Linked DNA regions of Ovis aries. The protein of the gene in region 2 interacts with the protein of the main gene of each other region in a pairwise test. Links are inferred from orthologs where the notes say so. Each region holds a gene or a part of one and is shown on either strand. Other genes may lie near its edges.

Region 1 (3,740 bases), on a different chromosome or scaffold from region 2:
CAGCTCCCTGGAGGAGGAGCAGTTCACGGCCGCCATCCAGGCCCAGGGCCTGCGCCACTCTGCAGCCGCCACTGCCCTCCCCCTCAGCCACGGTGCAGCCCGGAAGTGGTTCTACAAGGACCCGCAGGGCGAGATCCAAGGTGCACAGGGTTGGGGGTGCAGGTGGGGCTCGGAGACTGCACCATCCTCGTCGAGGGCTTCTCTGGCCCACCTCTGTGACCGCCCTGTGCCCTTCCCTTGGCCTAGGCCCCTTCACGACCCAGGAGATGGCGGAGTGGTTCCAGGCGGGCTACTTCTCCATGGCTCTGCTGGTGAAGCGGGGCTGTGATGAGGGCTTCCAGCCTCTGGGTGAGGTGATCAAGATGTGGGGTCGCGTACCCTTCGCCCCCGGGCCCTCACCTCCCCCGCTGCTGGTGAGTGTACCCGCTTTGGCGTGGAACAGGGAAGGGAGGCAGGAGCCCGGCAGAGGGAAGCGGTGGGTGCAGAGCCAGACGGGGGCAAAGCCACGGGGACGCTGTGGCCTCACTCAGGGGAACATGGACCAGGAGCGGCTGAAGAAGCAACAGGAGCTGGCAGCAGCCGCCTTGTACCAGCAGCTGCAGCACCAGCAGTTTCTTCAGCTGGCCGGCAGGTACGGGGGGCTTAGCAGGGCTGGTCAGCAGGGCCCATGCTGACGTGGGCAGGCCCACCTCTCACCTGCTCGCTCCTCAGCAGCCGCCAGCTCCCGCAGTGCATGCTCCGGGAAAAGGCAGCTCTGGGAGACCTGCCGCCACCACAGCAGCAGCAGCTCACCGCGTTCCTGCAGCAGCTCCAAGCTCTCAAACCCCCCAGGTGTGTGGGCCGCCGTCCTCGCTGTGTGCCCGTGGCCAAGCGTGTGTGGCGTGTCTGTACGTGATGGCCCTCGGGTGGTGTGGGTAGAGGGGCAGACAGGAGGTGGCTTCAGGGCGCTGAGCTTCGGTGCTTTCTCCTCAGGGGCGGGGACCAGAACTTGCTCCCGACGATGAACCGGTCCTTGTCGGTGCCAGACTCGGGTCCCCTCTGGGACATACATACCTCAGCCTCACCACAGTCAGGTGTGTGGCCCGCAGCTGCCCTCCTGGCCTGTCCTAGGTCTGGGAGTCCCCTCCACCCCCGACGGCCTCCAGTGGGTTGGGGGGCCGGGGGCTGGAGCTCCCCTCTGCAGCTGCCTTTGCCCCCGCAGGTGGTGAGGCCAGTCTTTGGGACATACCAATTAACTCTTCGACTCAGGGTCCAATTCTAGAACAACTCCAGCTGCAACACAAAGTGAGTGGGCCTCGGGCTGGCGTTCTTGGGTGTCAGGGGCCAGGCCACAGCTGGGACGGCCTGGCATCTGATCTTGACCCTCCAGTTCCAGGAGCGCAGAGAAGTGGAGCTCAGGGCGAAGCGGGAGGAGGAGGAGCGCAAGCGCCGGGAGGAGAAGCGCCGCCAGCAGCAGCAGCAGCAGGAGGAGCAGAAGCGGCGGCAGGAGGAAGAGGAGCTGTTCCGGCGCAAGCAGGTGGGGCCCGGCCTACGCAGGCTCGGGGTGAGGGTCAGGGGGCGGCCCTCACAGCGGCTTCTCTCCCTAGGTGCGGCAGCAGGAGCTGCTGCTGAAGCTGCTGCAGCAGCAGCAGGCAGTAGCCACTGTCCCCGTGCCTCCTGCGCCCAGCTCCCCGCCCCCGCTGTGGGCCGGCCTGGCCAAGCAGGGCCTGTCCATGAAGACGCTGCTGGAGCTGCAGCTGGAGGGCGAGCGGCACCTGCACAAGCAGCCTCCGCCTCGGGAGCCATCGCGGGCTCAGGCCCCCAACCACCGCGTGGTGAGCAGGCTTGCAGGCACCTTCTGCTCAGCTCCCAGGGTGACCGGGGTGGGGGGAGGTGGGGGGGCGGCGCACTAGTCCCTGTCGGACTCCGGAGGCGCTCTCTGCTGTGAGGCCCTCACCTCACCCTGCCTTTGCCACCTGAACGCAGCTCCCCGCTCAGCACCCCTGAGCATGCGCTCTCCTGTGTGGGTCACCCTTGCCTTCCTGCCGTCTGCAGCAGGTCGGGGGCCTGGGCTCCGCCCCCCTGAACCAGTGGGTATCTGAGGCCGGGCCACTGTGGGGCGGGCCCGACAAGAGTGGGGGCAGCAGCGGCCTGGGACTCTGGGAAGACACCCTCAAGAGCAGCGGGAGCCTGGCCCGGAGCCTGGGCCTGAAGAACAGCCGCAGCAGCCCCTCTCTCAGGTGGGTGCCGGGCCACAGGAGGATGGGGAGCGGGCCTCCTGAGGGGACACCTCCTGACTCACCCCATCCCGCGCAGTGACTCGTACAGCCACTTGTCTGGTCGGCCTGTGCGCAAAAAGACAGAGGAGGAAGAGAAGCTGCTGAAGCTGCTGCAGGGCATCCCCCGGCCCCAGGATGGCTTCACCCAGTGGTGTGAGCAGATGCTGCACACGCTGAGCACCACGGGCAGCCTGGACGGTATAGGCGTCACACCTACCCCAGGAGGCTGGGCCAGGGGTTCCAGACGCCATCCCGTGGGTCCTGACCCCCATCCTGCCCCGCAGTGCCCATGGCTGTAGCGATCCTCAAGGAGGTGGAATCCCCCTATGACGTCCACGACTATATCCGTTCCTGCCTGGGGGACACGCTGGAAGCCAAAGAATTTGCCAAACAATTCCTGGAGCGGAGGGCCAAGCAGAAGGCCAGCCAGCAGCGGCAGCAGCAGCAGGTGCGGCTTCACAGAGCCCTGGCTGGAGCGGGTGAGGGCGCCCCGAGTCCCCTGACCCCTCTCTTTCCTCTCTGTTGCCTTGCAGGAGGCTTGGCTGAGCAGCGGCTCCCTGCAGACAGCCTTTCAGACCAACCACAGCACCAAGCTCGGCCCCGGGGAGGGCAGCAAGGCCAAGAGGCGGGCGCTGATGCTGCACTCGGACCCCAGCATCTTGGGTGAGTGTGGAGCGGGGAGGTGGCTCCTTCCTCAGAACCGGGCAGGAGCCTGGGTGGGCGAGTTCAAACCCAGCTTCCCCTGGCTTCAGGGTACTCCCTGCATGGACCTTCTGGTGAGATCGAGAGCGTGGATGACTACTGACCAGCCCGTCCCACCAGCGCCCTGGGCTGTAGGCCAGGGGCAGCAGCAGCGGCTTGGACCCCTGGGTCCCCAGCCTGCAGGCTCCCCACAGGGAGCATAGGAGGAAGCAGGGGCAGGGTCCCCAGCACTTGTTACAAACCACACGATGCACCTTAACTCACCCACCACGAGGCACTTTACAGATTGAGGGGGGAAGGGTTTTGTTTTTGTTTTTTTGGTTTTAGTTTTAAACGACATTGAAGGAAACATAGGAGAGACAAAAAAAATGGTTAAAAAGTAGACTCTAAGCACTCCCTTTCCCTTTGTCGGATAGTGGGAGTGATAATGGAAGATCCACAGAGGTGTTTTTTTTTTTTTTTTTTTAAGAAAAAAGAAAAACAAACAAAAAAAATGGTTAGGAGACTGAAAGTAAAAACACACTGTTATTTGGGGCAGTGGGGACATGGGCCCCACGGACCTGTCCTGCTTGGCCCCCGAGGCTGCACTTACCCTCCCCGCCCCACAAGGTGGGCCACTGGGGTAACTGGAAGCTGGGGCGCCAGCAGTTTGCACAGCGAGGCCCCCTCAAGCCCCGCCAGCCGGACCCGCTGTGAACGGCCCCCTTGTGCTGTGACTGTGGCAGAGGTGTCTGGGGCCGGGGGGCCTGGCCCGAGTAGCCCCTTGGCTTTGCTGCTTCG
Region 2 (4,550 bases):
GCTGTAGCCCCACTCTAGGGAGATCCCTCGCATTCCCATGATGCTGAGCCTGGCCATGTGGCTTGCCTTGTCCAAGCAGGTGTCAGCTTAAGAAGTGCTTGTGCCCTGGGGTTTGACCTCTTACCCCCAGGGCCCCCATGATGGCTGTGAAGTGCACGGACCCAGGCAGGCTAGCATGCGAGAGGCCTGCACCCGGCAGCCGCATCACCCATCCACAGCAGCACTGGCCACTGGATATGTTAGTGCAGCCGTCCTGGCCCCAGCTCTTCAGGCCCCAGTGCGGCTAGCCACCCAACCTGCACCAACTGTGAACAGGGCATACAGCTTCGCTGCTTTAAGCCACTGAGGTTTGGGGTAGTTGGGGCAAAAGTCAAAGATACAATGCATAAAGTAAAAGGTATAGGCAAAAAGCCACCTTTCCATTCGCCTACTGCCTTATTAATTAGAGTGTGTTCTTTGGCTGTTCCAACCGCATCAAATAGGTGGAGGAGGATTATGGGGTCTGGACAAACGGACTGCCATTCTGTCCACTTCCTAGCCATGCAAATCCTGCACCACCTTCATACTCCTGAGCCTCCCCCCCCCCCCCCCCCCCCCACACACACACACGGGAAGATGCTCTGAGGAGCTGAGCCCAGCAGACTCCCGCCCGGGACGCGTCCCTTACCCATCCACGAGCCCTTGCTGTTTAATGATCCGGTGCGACTCTTCCCTGGAGATCCTGCCGTGAAACCAGTGCTGCGTCCTGTGAATCACTGTGGGGACCAGAGAAGGAGGGTAGGCCGGGCTCCGTGCACGGCCGCTGCCTTGCTAAGCACGCTCGGGCCACACGGGGCCCCGACTCCTGCGGTCCCAGCTTGCGTGCGCTGCACGCCAGGCCCGCCGTGAGGTTTGGGGAGGGCTGGGGGCGCTTTTATGTTATTTATGTACAACAATATCAAGCCAACATGCCGTGTTTACCTGTACTGAGGGCGGAAGGGTGGAGGGGGCTTTGGCTACCTAGGATATTCATCCGCGTGCTTCGTTTCTGCAAAAGAAATCCCCGCGTCAGCGCCAAGTAAGCCGCGAACACAATCACCGCGCCACCTGGGACACACCGCGGCAGGAAGCTGGCCCGGTGAAAGGCCCTTGATGGCGGGACGACAGCCGCCCAGTCCCATGTGGTCACAAGGACCCCTCCCGTGTGAGCAGGAGGGCAGACAGCTATGGGTCGCAGTTGTTAAAAGCAAAACCAGAAGCATCCCACCCCAGCATATTGCTAAGGATCCCAGTACTGAAGCCGGGCTGCGCCCGTCACACTGAAGACACGCAGTACAGTGCCCGACACACCTTAGGAGAAAACCATGAGCTCCCACAGGGGACTCAGGCCTGTGGCTTTGGGCACATTCTCCTTTTCCAAACGGGGAGGCTCTCTGAGCCAGAGTTGCCTTGAAAGCTCAGAAAAGCTTGGAAGTTGAGCGAAATTCTTCCATCTGGAGATTTGGAACTTGAGTCTCAGAGTAAAGAGACTGTTCAAGGGTGGGAGGTTGGTCAGCGGTTGAGCTGCGATGGGAACGCCTGGCCCAGCGCTTTCCCCAGAGGCCCTGAGGATACATCAGCAGGGACAGGGCTGCGGGCCACGGGGCCTCAGGGCTCTGCTCCTGCCCCTCCTTCCATGGGAGCCCAGGGACGGCCCGTGGGGGTGGCCAGGTGCCGGGGGCGTGGAGGAGCCCAGGCAAGCCACAGCCTCCTGCAGGCGAGAACTCACAGCCACCCCTCCTCCCTCGCACCGCATCCCTGCCGCCAGCACAGGGCCATTTCTCTGGGGCAGACCAGGGGTGGGGCCGGGCCACAGCCTTACCCTCCAGGCGTGGCCTTCTTCCAGGGCTGCGCTCTGGGCCTCAGCTGGATTCTCGATTACTCTTCCCGTTTGCCCAGAGAAATCCATTGCCACAAGGGAGTTCTCAGAGACGCTGCGCTGCAAAGGAGAGGCCGTGGATTCTTGAGATGCAGAGAAGCAAGCGGAGCAGCAGGTGGGAACCGCCGCGTGGGAGAGCTGTGCAGACCCAGGGAGGGGCAGCAAAGGGACAGGCAAGGACACCCCCGCCAAGAATCGGACAGAACACTCAGTGTCTGAAGGGCCCTGGGATGAAAAATGGCTTTGGTTTTTCTCAAGAAGAGGAAAGAAACCTTCCAATTCTCTGAAGATATTTGGAAGCTGCTGGTGAGGCCACTGGTGTCCACCCGTGGGGTCGTCCACAGGGTCTCTAATGTGAATTAAAAGGAGAGCACAGTTCTTGAGGACCTAGCCTGCTGTGGTCCCCCTTTGCCTGGCAAAGTAATAAAGTCATTCTTTCCTTCTCCTCCATTACAAAAAACCCCACAAAAACTCATCCAAGAAATGCTAACATCAAAGGCGAGCAAGCCCTCACCAGCAGCCAAATCCCTTCTCAGGTAAGTTAGTTCACAGAAACACGGGCACCGCTTCTGTGGGTACTTTGACATCTCTGAGGAATGGACATCCAGAGATTGTTAACTCATTATCAACTGGGGGATTTCTGCAGAAACTAACACCTGTGGTTGGTGAAGATTTTTATTTTGGCTGGCTAAAACATTAATTCTGTTATTTCACTAACATTTTGCAGGTTGTCACATTCAACAGTTACCCTTGTAAAGTTTTCTCCAGCACCATGAGCTTCATTTTCACTTTCTGCTTCAGAATCAATCACTAAGGTTTTCTGTCTTTTTGTTGGTCTGATATTCACAGTCGGAAGCAGAACTATATTCTGAAGAACTATCGTCTTCTGAGACACTAACATATATGTCATTCAGACACTCAGAGAAAATATCTGCATAAAATTCACCAAAAAAATTTTTCACTCAAAATTTCTCGATGCGTCATTTTTGAAAATTTCACATTTATAATATGCACAAGGTGCTACAAAAACCTAATGGAGCAAAACACGAGTGATAACAATAATCCAAACTGTATCATGACCCTTTGACCAATTTTAAGATCTAACAACTTCGCACAGTGATGTTAATTCGATCACTTTCTAAAAATGTATTGACACTCCTGGCCAATAAACATTTGGATAACAAAAGATGTGTTGATACATCGCCCAGTCAATAATGTGTTAAGATCGTATTTGGGAAGGATGAAGTGTTTCTACACCTCTGGGACATAAAGTCCATCCTGAGATCCCAGGAAGACTCACTACAATCTCAGTTTTCACAAGGACTCAAGAATCATGGTCAACAGCACCATGGACCCACAGCTGAAATGGACAGAAGTGAAGGCGGTGAATGAAGGCAGCTCCTCAGTAGACGTGGGCGCTGCTGTCAACATTTCTGAACACTGGAATGGAGCTCTCAGTGGGAGCCATTCACCAAAGCAACACTGCAGGGAGATGTGGGAAAGGGGAGAGGGTAGACAGGGATCTGCTCCCAGCAGTCACACTGCAGACGACAAAGCCCATCTCCTGGGAAATGCACGCTGGTAGGATATTCTGGCTCCTCCGGGCAGCCTCATCTGAGAAAAGATGCCCACAGCCCGTGCTGATGCAGCAGCTGAACAGCAATGTGGCTTCAGAGGCGCAGCTTGACTTACCACTGGAGTCGAGAAGGAGGACAGCATGGCTTTCCTCTGCTGTGGGATCCTGTAGTTCTGGTAAAGGAGCATCCCATACTGAAGAGGTAAGGAGGGCCAGAGTCAGTCACCAGGGCATCCGGAGCCCTAAAGCCCCACACGGGGCAAACCCTTGGCACTCAAGAGCCACACTCATACAGAATAATGGGCGACAATTGGGTGAACTTAAGAATAAACACCCAACAGAGCCCTGTCTCTGGGCCTGCCACCACCAATGCTCCACAGTCAGTTACCACTATCTGTCTGGGGGGGCTGGGTGGGCAGGAAGTGGTCAAAGAAGTAACAACATAATAAGGACTAGCAAGAACAATTAGCCTTACTAAATGTTGCTATGGGCAAAGCTCTGAGTGCTTTATGCTGCTCTTTTATTTAATCCTCTCCATTTTATGAAATATGTACTTTATCCTCATTTCACAAACAAGAGAACACAGCAAGTGAAGCAAGTTGCTCAAGGTCATGGTAAAGTAAGGATTCAGGTTCTGAATGTACAATCCTGCTTCCAAACCAGTGCTCTTCTTAACCACCAGCCTCCCTGCCCAACCAGCTCAGCAGTTTGGGCTTTATTTCCTCAGTCAATAAGCACTGAGCATCCTGCAAAGCCTCCTACACTCCTGACGTTTCAACCTGCACTCCTCAGTTACACCTTCAAACCACAGAGAGAAGAAAAAAGGAAGAGGAAAGAGGAATCCAGCGGGCTGCATCTTCCTCTTCACTGTTCTTCACGGATGGGAGCTCATTTCCAGCTCAAGGACCAGCAGTAAGTACTCACTTCTGAAGCTAACATATTTGGAACATGATGAAAATGTCTACCATAGATACAGTCACACCCCAGTGAGACAGGAGGAGAGAGAACAGATCAAAACAAACATTTGAGATGTGGTTCAGTCACTAAGTCATGTCCAACTTAGTGACTCCCAGGCTC
Region 3 (4,550 bases), on a different chromosome or scaffold from region 2:
CCACTGGGGTAAACTGGGTAAATGGTACATAGACTCCCTGTATTATTTCTCACAACTGTTTGTAAAGCTATAATTATCCCAAAATAAATATAATTAAAATACATACCTATATATGTTTTAATTAAAACATTCTACAGGCATGCAAATTCAGATAATCAAAAAATATACACAGTGCCATGCAGTGATAGATACTATAAGGAAGAATAAAGCAGGGGAGGGGGACTGAGGATAGAAAAGAAATTATGATGTTAAAGAGAGGTAACAGTCAACAATGAAATTCAGGTTACAAGCAAAAACTTCAAAATGCAGAAATGAAAAATCAGCAGATATTCTTCACAACACACTCTCCGCATTCTAACCTAACTTACATACCATACACATACTTTAAGCAATTAGTTTAAAATATGGTACCCTTTTCAAATATTTTAAATATTTCTTTTGTCATTTATGATATCAACTCCATTTCAGTGAAACATTCAAACAAGCTTTTCCAAGATGATTGCCATCATCTTTTTTAATAAGGTGCCTAAAATACAGTGAATGTATGAAACTCAACTGCCCAGTCAATAGCTGGCATGCCAGAAATGAGGGAGTCTTAAGTATACTGACTATTCCCCGCCCCATCATATTAGTGATCACAATCTGCCTTGTATTCAAATTATTTTCACTGGACTCCCTCCCATCATTGAAATGTAAAGTACTAAGGAGGGAACCTATTAATGAAACATCTATACAAAAGAAGAAAGCCTGTAGCGCTGACTTTTGTTCTACAATTACACAAATTAATGTTAAATAACCACCATGCTTTTGAACTGTGGTGTTGGAAAAGACCCTTGAGAGTCCCTTGGACTGCAAGGAGATCCAACCAGTCCATCCTAAAGGAGATCAGTCCTGAATATTCACTGGAAGGACTGATGCTGGGAAAGACTGAAGGCAGGAGGAGAAGGGGATGACAGAGGATGAGATGGCTGGATGGCATCACCAACTCAATGGACTTGAGTTTGAGCAAGCTCCGGGAGTTGGTGATGGACAGGGAAGCCTGGCATGCTGCAGTCCACAGGGTCGCAAAGAGTTGGACACGACTGAGTGACTGAACGACTGAATCACCATCTTAGAGAATCTGGAGGTAATGGCATACTTCTCTACTTAGAGGAGAATGGAACAACCTACCTTGAATCTCTCCCTGAGGATCTTTGTAATACCACTTCTGCATTGCTTCATGCATCAGTGGAATTGAGAGTCCCTTAGCTCTGTGTTCTTGCAACTTTGATGCCAGTCTCTCATCATCTAGTGCACTGTCTTGGAGATAAGCCACCATTTTCTCAGCTTGCTAAGAGAAAAAATTAAAAAATGAACTGTGGAAACAAATGATCCTAAATTAATACTTGTACACACAACTGTCTGTCTCTTTTGGACTACCTGATCTGTGAGAGGCACTGTGCAAAGGACACAGCAGGCAACAATTCATCCATCCAATAATGCCATGAAATAGGTACGATCCTCATTTCACAAAGGGGGAAACTTTGTGAACTAAGGCAGGTTCAGGGGGATCAAGTCTTGCTTAAGGTTTCAAAATTATCAAGAAAACTCAAATGAGACTAAAACTGGAACAGATCAAAATCTAAGCATCTTATCAACACACTTAAGAGTGCCATTTAAACAAATAATCCTAAATTATACAAACTAAATCTGCAAAAACATGTGCTAATAGATCAAAAAGCTCAATTATAATACATTACAAATAAAATCTTTTACAAGTTTTTATTCCTTTCTGCAATACTTCCTGCCACCAACTACTGTACCCTGAAGGAAAGAGAATTTCCTCTGTAGAAAGCAAGCTATCATTTACCTTACATATAAGCAGCAGTATATAAAAACGTTAGGGAACTCTAGAGACATCAGTATGATGGTATTTCTGTTTTCCCTGTTACACTTCAGGCGAAAAATATAGACGATACAGTGCCTATCCACAGCTGCTTGTATTTGCCATTTCTGGCATTCCATTAATTTCCAAAAAGAAAAAAGAAAAGGAAACAGCTCAGGGCAACCTCAGAAGAGCAAAAAATAACCTGACTTAATGACTACTACATAGCAGAAACTTAAAAGCATGAAATGACTTGAAAGACAATTACTCATACAAATAAATACTAGATGTAAAAACAAGTTTTTCAGTACACAAAATCTAGTGCACAAAAGTTCCATTTCTGAATATTCATTTAATGCTTTTCAATTTTTATGGCAGTTCTCGAGGAAAGAAAGAATTATGTGACTTGTACCTGCTCCAAGTGTTTGAGACCCTCTTCATCATCTGGCTCTGTGGGAACACTGCCCATTCCAGGAGCACCAACGACTGGCGTCTCCACTGGCCGGAGGGCAGGACTAGGGCTGGGGACAGGAGGAGGGAGGATGAGGAGCGGAGAGGCTGTATCTGCAGGAATCTGCGACAGGGGCTGCTGGACATCAGGAACCACTTCTAGAGAAAAAAAATGTAGACAGATGAAAATCCTCTAAAAGAGACTCTTGGAAAGAATAACAAGCATCAAGTTGAGCAGCTTGCTAAATGGGCTCAACAGATTTGTGAACCATGTCATGAATACTGCTGCTACTTCTTATGGAGAAGTGTGTATTCCTCCCCAGAATGATGAATTACCTCCATAGGGTGACAACAAGTAAGATTAAAACGTACCCAGAAAGGGCTTCTGCAATGCCATACTGTGTCACTAGAGTATCTACCCAATAGTTACAGGTCTACCTCTTGAAAACAAACAGAATTAGTCCAATCCCTTCTTTACATCATGTCTCTGAGCTGTAAAGACAGTAAACAGCACTGCATCTCCTCAAAGACACCATATCTCAGCATGTGAAAGAGAAAGTCGCTCAGTCGTGTCCAATTCTTAATGACTCCTTGGACTATACAGTCCACGGAGTTCTCCAGGCCAGAATACTGGAGTGGAGCCTTTCCCTTCTCTAGGGGATCTTCCCAACCCAGGGATGGAAACCAGGTCTCCCACATTGCAGGCGGGTTCTTTACCAGCTGAGCTACAACGGAAGCATAAAAACCTTTATTAAAAACATCTGCAATTACTTTGAATAATTACCTATTTCGACTTATAATGACCATAATTCAACACATTCTGCAGGGTAACAAAAAGTTCACTGGGTCTACCCGTACAGAGCAGGAGGTTCTTCACAATAAGAGTAAAGACTACAAAAGAGGTTCTGTCTTGGTTCCTATTTCTAACCTCTCAGTACTCAGGCTCTTGAGGAGGAAAGGGGGATGGAAGTAATTAGATACAACAGTAGTTTCCTCTTTGAAATCTTGTTTGTTCAATTACAACAAGCTTCTCCAAATTCTTTGACAGACTTCTTAAAAGGACAGTGTGACGTCTATACAACTTTCTCTACTTCACCACCACCCATACCAGCTATAAGGTAACTTCCACTTCCAACAGCCGAAAGCTTCTCTCCCAAAGATAAGCATTCACCCAAAGTGTTCAAACACAATGGTTTTTCCTAGTCCCCATCACTGAACCTTAGGTCTGACATTATCTTCCCAATTCTAAACTGGAACGTTCTCCTTCCTTCCTTTTCCTGCACTCTTCTTCTTGCCGTGCCAAGATTTTTCTCTGGCTCCTCTATCTACCCTCTAAAAATAGGGATTACCCAGGTACTGTTCTCAGTCCACTTCTTCTCACTCCTAACAGTGCATGTAATCTTTTAAATGTTCATTCTCTCTGTGGCCCAGAACTCGTCCCATTGAGCTACAGTCCCCTCACTCTCAACTGCTCTCTGGCCATCTCTACTGAATTTCTCACCAACACCTCAGACTCCATGTTCATAGCCTGAATTTGTTGTCTCCCCTCCCAAATGTGCTCCTCAAAACTTCCACTCTTTTTCTATTAAGGATACCCTAGATAGCATATTCAAAAGCAGAGACATTACTTTGCCGACTAAGGTCCATCTAGTCAAGGCTATGGTTTTTCCAGTAGTCATGTATGGATCTAAGAGTTGGACTGTGAAGAAAGCTGAGGGCCGAAGAATTGATGCTTTTGAACCGTGGTGTTGGAGAAGACTCTTGAGAGTCCCTTGGACTGCAAGGAGATCCAAACAGTCCATTCTGAAGGAGATCAGCCCTGGGAGTTCTTTGAAAGGAATGATGCTAAAGCTGAAACTCCAGTACTTTGGCCACCTCATGCGAAGAGTTGACTCACTGGAGAAGACTTTGATGCTGGGAGGGATTGGGGGCAGGAGGAGAAGGGGACGACAGAGGATGAGATGGCTGGATGGCATCACTGACTTGATGGACGTGAATCTGAGTGAACTCCGGGAGTTGGTGATGGACAGGGAGGCCTGCCGTGCTGCGATTCATGGGGTTGCAAAGAGTTGGACACGACTGAGCGACTGAACTGAACGGAAATCCTCTCACACACCTCATTCATCTTTGACTCTTCCTTCCTCCTTGCCCTAATAAACAACAAGCAGTAACTATGTCCTGTCAATTTCTACTGTGAAATCTCATCTGCCACTTCCTCCCCTTCCAAGTGCACTGC

The links.
Region 1: the proteins of GRB10 (region 2) and GIGYF1 interact in a two-hybrid assay, tested with the Homo sapiens proteins (2 studies listed by BioGRID). The link is inferred for Ovis aries from reciprocal best matches to the Homo sapiens genes GRB10 and GIGYF1.
Region 3: the proteins of GRB10 (region 2) and GIGYF2 interact in a two-hybrid assay, tested with the Homo sapiens proteins (2 studies listed by BioGRID). The link is inferred for Ovis aries from reciprocal best matches to the Homo sapiens genes GRB10 and GIGYF2.

What each region holds. Positions count from the first base shown.
Region 1 is NC_056077.1:36,335,790-36,339,529, forward strand, and holds part of GIGYF1 (GRB10-interacting GYF protein 1), read left to right. Parts: coding exon 1-140; intron 141-246; coding exon 247-631; intron 632-711; coding exon 712-831; intron 832-972; coding exon 973-1,073; intron 1,074-1,201; coding exon 1,202-1,284; intron 1,285-1,369; coding exon 1,370-1,516; intron 1,517-1,586; coding exon 1,587-1,814; intron 1,815-2,034; coding exon 2,035-2,219; intron 2,220-2,295; coding exon 2,296-2,456; intron 2,457-2,542; coding exon 2,543-2,706; intron 2,707-2,791; coding exon 2,792-3,163; 3' UTR 3,164-3,740. UniProt on the Homo sapiens protein: May act cooperatively with GRB10 to regulate tyrosine kinase receptor signaling. May increase IGF1 receptor phosphorylation under IGF1 stimulation as well as phosphorylation of IRS1 and SHC1.
Region 2 is NC_056057.1:6,104,168-6,108,717, reverse strand, and holds part of GRB10 (growth factor receptor-bound protein 10), read right to left. Parts: intron 3,668-4,550; coding exon 3,590-3,667; intron 1,958-3,589; coding exon 1,841-1,957; intron 1,028-1,840; coding exon 961-1,027; intron 756-960; coding exon 668-755; intron 1-667.
Region 3 is NC_056054.1:8,171,086-8,175,635, forward strand, and holds part of GIGYF2 (GRB10-interacting GYF protein 2), read right to left. Parts: intron 2,474-4,550; coding exon 2,277-2,473; intron 1,331-2,276; coding exon 1,171-1,330; intron 1-1,170. UniProt on the Homo sapiens protein: Key component of the 4EHP-GYF2 complex, a multiprotein complex that acts as a repressor of translation initiation. In the 4EHP-GYF2 complex, acts as a factor that bridges EIF4E2 to ZFP36/TTP, linking translation repression with mRNA decay.